Drosophila melanogaster: one gene and its partner. The protein of the gene in region 1 interacts with the protein of each later gene in a pairwise test. Each region holds a gene or a part of one and is shown on either strand. Other genes may lie near its edges. The genes, in order: CG13001 and CG3308.

Evidence for each region.
Region 2: the proteins of CG13001 (region 1) and CG3308 interact in a two-hybrid assay, tested with the Drosophila melanogaster proteins (one large-scale study listed by BioGRID).

What each region holds. Positions count from the first base shown.
Region 1 is NC_004354.4:16,941,138-16,945,068, reverse strand, and holds the start of CG13001 (uncharacterized protein), read left to right. Parts: upstream 1-2,197; 5' UTR 2,198-2,486; coding exon 2,487-3,494; 3' UTR 3,495-3,931.
Region 2 is NT_033777.3:21,271,938-21,275,868, reverse strand, and holds the start of CG3308 (uncharacterized protein), read left to right. Parts: upstream 1-2,051; 5' UTR 2,052-2,338; coding exon 2,339-2,528; intron 2,529-3,033; coding exon 3,034-3,382; intron 3,383-3,432; coding exon 3,433-3,714; intron 3,715-3,775; coding exon 3,776-3,914; 3' UTR 3,915-3,931. Other genes in the region: CG3301 (uncharacterized protein), read left to right, coding at 1-230, 289-468.

The DNA of each region.
Region 1 (3,931 bases):
TACTAAGCGTGCAGCTATGCCGTTCATCTGTAACTCTTTTTGCCAACGAAATACGTTTAAATAAGAATCTTTAGGTGTACCTACTGAAGGGTTACAGATTTATGGTCATTTACCATATTGTTTTGACAAACCTTTAGTTCACTTGATGTGTTCCAATTGTAAACAAGAAAAAGCTATTAAAATAAGTAAGAGATGATAGATTACAGCTCTTCCCATTTAATATAAATATAATGCACATAGAGTGAGCAGCTAACATTATCTTTTAGTAATCATAATGTTTACGGATCATAGATACATTAGGCTCTAAAAATCCAAATATTTGTCAACTCACGAGTTTGTTGTATTTCACGTACCCCAACGAACTTATGCATAGTGTACTTTATTTATTACCATAACTAAAAGATCTTGAGAGGCTTTTATTTATTTAGCCCAATTTTCGGACTTATCGCCTGGATTGATCGATTAATTTGGTTATTGATTCTTCTGCGAAAGTCAAAGGGAAAAGCGCATCCAATCGGAGAATGTGTGTCGGCTGTCTTAATATGTTTATAATTGACTTAATTGCCAAACAATTAAGAACAGCAACAAAATGTGTCAAACGATGGAAAGAGAGAGAGAGAGAGGGAAGAGCGGTGGAGAGATGGAGCGAAGAAGCGCAACAGGTGACACCTGTCCCGCTCGCACAGTCTATCGCTAAATGGGAGCGATAAGCAGTTAGAAGCGAAATATATGTGTGTCAAAAATTATCATACATACAAATGTGTACACAGCCATAGTGGTTTTATAAATTTAGGAAAAAATATCATTATATTGCATAAAACGCATAGGTGGCAAAAACACTAAATTAAAATATAATACAAATATATAAACATATACTAACGAAATGTTTTTAAACATTTCAAAGTATAATGATTAAAATTCACAATGTTATCAATATTGCCGTATTTCGCATTATTTATATTTGATTTATTGTAGATATTACTATTATTTGGCACATAGCTGTCACTAAAAATTATCAGCCAACTAACACAGACACACAGCCCGTATGTAAACACGGATTGATTAGAACGCATTGAAGAGAGAAGAGACCATTGAAAATCGAAGCCCGCAGAAAAAGAGATCGCAAAGAAACTGCGGCTTTCAAATAAAAATAATAAAAATCGCTTTTACCTTTCGCTTTTTCCTTGTTAAAAATTTCGTATGCAGTTTCTGCGTGGTCAACTTAACTTCGTTTTATATTCACAACACACACAAACACAACCAGAGCACAACAATAAAAAACGAAAACAAAGAGTGTGAGAGAGAGGGAGAGAGCGGTGGGCGAAAAGCAAAGTCTCTGCTAAATTGCTAAGCTGATTTCCCACACATATCGATATTGCACTGATATTTTACTGCCGCAACTAGTTGACACATTTCCACAAACATTTCGGCCCAGTTTACTAATATTTGTTTATTTATTTATTATTCTTGCGGAATGAATCACTTGCGGAATGTTTCACACACACATACGCGCGCGTACGCATTGTTTGCATCTGTCTCTCTCTCTCGCGCGATCGATGTCTTTTTTTGTTGTTGTCTCCAAAAGGGAACAACAACTATTCGCTAAACAGAAGTTGACAATTCGCGGATGGAAAAGTCATGACCAGAACAAGATTCTTTGTTTTTGTCCCCAATGCCCGCTTTCCGAACCGGATTTTCCGATCCGAACGATCTGCGACCGATCGAAGAATACAAATGCATAATGTAATATAACGGGGCGCGCCTAGTGTGACCGTTGGCGGAAAGACAGCGAATGCCGGCAAAACTAGTTACTAAACTAGTAGCTAGGATACAAGTTATTAATTTTAGTTATATGTAATAATGTAAATTTTAATACTAACGTTCTTTCCATATAACTGAAACATTTTATATCAATAGTTAACTGAATATTATCTCGGCATGAATGCCAGATTTAAGTTTTTTGCCACAGCAACTGGAATTTACCGGATTTTTAAATTTTAAAGCAGCGCCCACGGTAAAATCAGTAAAGCACTTTAACTATAGTGTAATCATTTAAGTAAATTTGTACGTATAAGGAATTGGAATTGGAAGGAATTTGTTTTCTATTTAAAAAACGATATATACCGCACTGCCAGCTATCGATAGCAAATAATCGGCTGGTCGTGATTAAATGTAAAAATTACTTCCACGCTCTGGTAACACTGCATTGTATACCAGAAAAAAATGGTATTAGCATTAGCAGAGAAAAAATCAAATAAATAAAGAAAAAATCAATTAAAAGTGCGCCATTCCAAAGGATTATCCCAAAAGACGCGATCATCCATATCAGATGCTTAAGAATCGGCCGGAAAATCCGACATCGAACTATTAGGCTAGTGAAAAAGTGCAAAATAAACATTCGCCCAGTGGAGGGGGCCATACAGAAAACACTCGAGAGTCTTTCGAAAATACACATATTATACCACACGGATCGTTTTGGATCTACAATGGCCACCAGCGAGATCTCGAGCTCCAATGAGCGGCACTACTACGCCAAACTGGAGGCCATCAAGGACATCAGGGACAAGACGCTGTCGCTGGAGAAGCTCAAAGTGCGGATCATCAAGGAGGTGAAGCTGAGCGACGACGAGGAGAAGTGCCTGGAGGAGTACCGCAAGGAGATGGAGCACCTGCTCGAGGAGAAGATGTCGCACGTGGAAGAGCTGCGCCAGATCCACGCGGACATCAACGACATGGAGAACATCATCAAGCAGACGAAGGAGAACCAGACCCGCTCCTTCGACATGGCCAACCGGGTGTACGAGGAGTACCTGGCCCTGAAGTACCAGATTGATCACATGCGCCGCGACTATCTCGGACTAAGCCCGCTGCGAGATCTGCACGAGGAGGAGGGCAGTCCCATTTCGAAGGATCGCTTCCAGACCAACTTCCTTAAGGTGGCCGCCCAGTCGGCGGCAGCAGCAGCTGCTGCAGCTGCGGCGGCGGCCTCGGTTAATCAGAACTCGTCGTTGGCCCGTCCGCATGCCCGGCATCCTCTGATGCCGGAGGCCACGGTCACCGCGCTGCCTTCTGGCGGCGGACAGGGCGGCGTTGGTGGTGGCGGCGCTGCAGGCGGTGGCGGAGGATCTGTGGGCGGCGGAGGCGGTGGTGGCGGCAATCCTGGACACGCCTTCATGCCACCCGCACCGCCGGGAGCAGGCAGTGCTGCTGCCGCCGCCGCTGCTGCTGCAGTGCGTCTGGGCAAGGGTGACTTCTCAGCACCACCGCCACCGCCGCCGCCCAGCAATCGACTGCAGCAATCGCCTTCGATCGGCATCGGCCACCATCCCTCGTTCCGCTCCGACTTCAATGTGAATCTCCGCCAGCAGCCGCCGCCCATGAAGTCCTGTCTGTCCTGCCACCAGCAGATCCACCGGAACGCGCCCATCTGTCCGCTCTGCAAGGCCAAGTCGCGCTCCCGCAATCCGAAGAAGCCCAAGAAGAAGAACAACTAAGTGGCCACCGCTCCAGACCAGCAACTACACTCATCTTAAGTCCGGAGCTGGTTCCGGAAACTCAGCGCACTAAATCGAATGCGTTTTTTTTTTTTTGCCTCATCTATTTATTATTAATCCCAATGAAAAGTATTACAACGACGCAAGGCGGGTGTGCTCATGATTATCGGAGAAGATTTAAAAGAATGTCAAATACTTGCATTAATATTTTATACATTACTAGTGTATTTGAAAATCGATGAAGAAATTATTCATGACACGCCGGCCGCTAACAAATTCTCATAACAATTTTAGTTGGTAAACTCAATGAATTTGATTTTTATTTTAACTATAATCATAGGCTAAGTATTTTTTAAAAGCTCAAATAACGTGTCAAATTATCGAGAACAAAAATTTTGTTTATACATGTAAGCCATGCTAAATATGCAACTATGTTA
Region 2 (3,931 bases), on another chromosome or scaffold:
TGAATGTGTTGGGAGTGACCTGGTGCACCCGCCAGTGGTTCCTATCGCTGCAGCGCCGCAAGGTAAACGACGGTCATGTGGTAGTCATCAATAGTGTGGTAGGCCACTCCGTTCCGGCCGTGGAGGGCTTCAGCCTGAACATGTACGCGCCCTCCAAACACGCGATCACCGCCTTGACCGAAATCCTGCGTCAGGAGTTCATCAAGAAGGGCACTCAAACAAAGATCACGGTAAGTGACCTTGCTCATCCAGTTCGCATGAGAACTTCTAATGATGTACGTATTTTAGAGCATCAGTCCTGGTGTAGTGGCCACTGAAATTTTCGAAGCCGGATCCTGGGAGCAACCCACAGGCATGCCCATGCTGCGATCGGAGGATATAGCCGATGCGGTGACCTACTGCATCCAGACGCCCCCAACTGTCCAGATAAAGGAGCTCATAATCAAGCCGGTTGGTGAGGGCTTTTGAAGTGACCACTTCCAAGTGACCAAGTAAGTTATTTGAACAAATACACAAATATCTTTTCAATAGCAGTGTAAACAAATAAAAAATGTACATGTTTAATTAATAGAGAAAAAATACACCCAAGGTCGCTCTTTTATCTCAACATGGAAACCGGGCTCAACTGGTTTTTGCTTACCCCAACGTTCAAGACGCCTTTCTATTAAACCCGTTTGTTCGTCGGGAACATTTTTAATGATGAATAATCCGGTATAAATCTTTATCTACCCATTTTTAATAAGAATATTTGATATCAAAATTTACCTAGACAAACACCCTCGCTATTATTTATCGATTAGGGTGACTCCGAAATATATGTAGATAGGAATTTATTATTCAGGAATTGTTAATGGTCTCTTCAGATCCAAAAAAAATCCAATTAATTCCAATGATACTGCGACATTGGGAATTATCTATTAAGTAGTCAATCCACCCCAGACGATTATGCTTATAATTTTAAAAATGTACCCAAAAGATAAGAGTTAATTCGAAAACAAGTCGCACTGCCGAAAGACATATGCAGATGAGTGCTGTCTGCAGCTGATGGCCAAGGGAGTGTGGTTGATAGTTCCAGCCAAAAGGGTGAACTGTCTCCAGAAGATGAACTCCTCCACTGCCATCAGCAAGCTGGCTTCCATTTTCCCCCTGCGATGTCACCAATGGTGACCCTTTTTGGTACATTTTCTTGAATCGATAAGAGTTTGGGTGGTGCTGATGTTAAGTAAAAACATTATGATAGAGGGAAACTCGGATGATCTGATAACAATACCGTTCTAGATACCATTGCACCAGGAGTACATTGCAGAAGTCTTCCGACAAGAGTTTATCAACAGGGGAACTCAATATAATATGCCTGTTGGAAGTAGTAGGTTGGATGTGTTTATTATAATGAGTTTCCCCCTTAGAGCATCTGCTAACCATTGTAGATACGTAAATAATCAGTGGCATGGAACACCGGCATACACAAGCTGAGAATAGAGGATTGAGCCGGTGCAATATCATATTACACTCACTATCAAGCCGTGGGCGAACTTGTTTAAACCTTTGTTTCTTGATAAAAAAAAATGAACAAGCTTTGTGTGGGCCAACTCAAATAAATAAACAATCGCACTTGAATACAATGAATCGTTTTAGTTAAATAATCTTGCAGGTGTTTGGAAAGAATATAATGAAAACATTATTCTCATTTGTTCGTTTGTTTAACCAAAACTGAAGGTGGGGTCGGTGCAAGTGTGTGGGCTTGGGTTTTAAATCCCCAAAAACAATGACTGTTGCCGAAACAAAAAATTCGACTCAGTTATATTTAGTTGCGACTTCTGGTATGGTATTGTGAAATATTTAATTATTTGTCTTAAGATGTTACTATTGATGATCGGAATTCTACTATATACATGAAACAAATATATTTATATCAAATAATTGGACTGAATTTTATTACATAATATTTATTTTGATAACAATTTAAATTCAAACACGATATAATTTGGTGCTACGTATCGATTCCGACTATCGATTGCATGCAGAGTGTAGTACCTGCACTGACCCGTTCTGCAGACGTTGTTCAACTCTAGCCAGCAGTTGTAGTTCGTGTCGGGATTGTTTTTTAGATTAATATTTCTCAACTTTTAGACCATTGATTGCCGAATTGGTCAACTCTTCCAAATTCCAACAAATTCAGTAGATCCACATTTCACGGCTTTCACCGCCGTCGCGTTTCCTTGCGCCCTCAAAAACAAGCTAATTGAATTACCCACGCACACAGTCGCAGCCCAGCAATCCATCGCCTGCGTCATAAGCTATTTTCGTCGATAATAGATCCAAGATTCCGATCCAGAACATGGACCCCAGTCAACAGACGCCCCAGGAGACGGTGGTGGCCCCCGTGGCCCCGCTGCTGGAGGATCAGCTGGAATTGGACATGAAGCACTGCTTTGAGAACCTGATCGTCATCGACGTGGGTGCGAATCTGACCAACAAGAAGTATAGCCGTGATCTGGATTCCGTGGTGCAGAGAGCCAGAGACGCAGGTTTGTATGCCAGCATCAGATACTACATGTGCAGGCATAATTAATAAGACCCGGGCAGTGTCTTCGTTCTGGGGCGAGGCTGCGAAAACACCCAGACAGCCAGAAGGTCGGGCTATTGGCGAGCAACAAGTGTGCCTGTGTTTTGATATATGTATGCATGTACATATGTGCCCTGGGAGATGGCATTACAAATTCAATGGGAACGTAGCTGGAGATTAAAAACCAAATAACCAAGATGTCAACACAACAATATTTGCATAGGATAAATTTTTAAAGGAAACTATAAACATTTAAATATATGTAAGAGATAAATTCTCTTTACATATTTGATTTGATATTCAACAAAAAATTTGTTTTTTAAATACATTTACTTAAAGGGATACATTACAATGCTGATAAGAGTATCTGATCGAAAGCAAACAGAAGTCACATATTTTCTCTTTTGTACACAAGTCTGTAGCCCAGTGAACGTTGCACTAACTTTCTCCCGCCTTTCTTGTTGCAGGTGTCCAGAAACTAATGGTTCACGGCACTTCGGTCAAATCGAGCAAGGAAGCGCTGCGCCTTTCGCGCATCTATCCCGACATAATCTACTCAACTGCTGGCATTCACCCGCACGACTCCAAGTCCATCGTGGAAGAGCCGGCCACGTGGTTCGATCTGGAGCACATCGCCCAGGCGCAGGAGTGTGTGGCGATTGGCCCCTGCGGCTTGGACTACCAGCGGGACTTCTCCGAACCGGACGCCCAGAAGCAGATCTTCGCCAAGCAGCTGCATCTGGCCATCCGGCTAAATAAACCTCTGCTGATCCACGAGCGGTCGGCTCAGCTCGATTTACTCGAAATACTAGACAAGTAAGAGCCGTAGATTTGGTTTACAAAACTTTAAATTGTTCCCCGCGCAGATTCGAGAATCTTCCGCCTGTGATCATCAGAGGTTTTATGGGCACCGCCGAGGAGGCGCTTAAGTACCTAGACCGGAGGTTCTACATCAGCCTGACGGGCTACCTGTGCAAGGACAAATCGGATACTGGCGTTCGCCGCCTGCTGGAGGACGGCACATTGCCGCTAGACAGACTACTGGTGGAGACGGATGCTCCTTTCATGTACCCAAACACAAGGGCTTCCAAGCTACCGCAACACGTGAAGACTGGTATCACCGAACGCTCATTGTTGTACTTACACAGGTGGGCGAAGTAAAAAGTACCAAAATAGGTCACTCTTCTATTAGTTCAAAATACCTTCCAGATATTGTACCTTCCAACGCAACGAGCCGTGCAGTTTGCCCGCCATTGTAGAGATGATAGCCGCCTTCATGAAGAAAAGCCCGGACGAGGTGGCTTTGGCCACTGCCTTTAATGCCCTGAAACTGTTTGGCTTGTCCTAGAAAATGGTAAAGGAGCC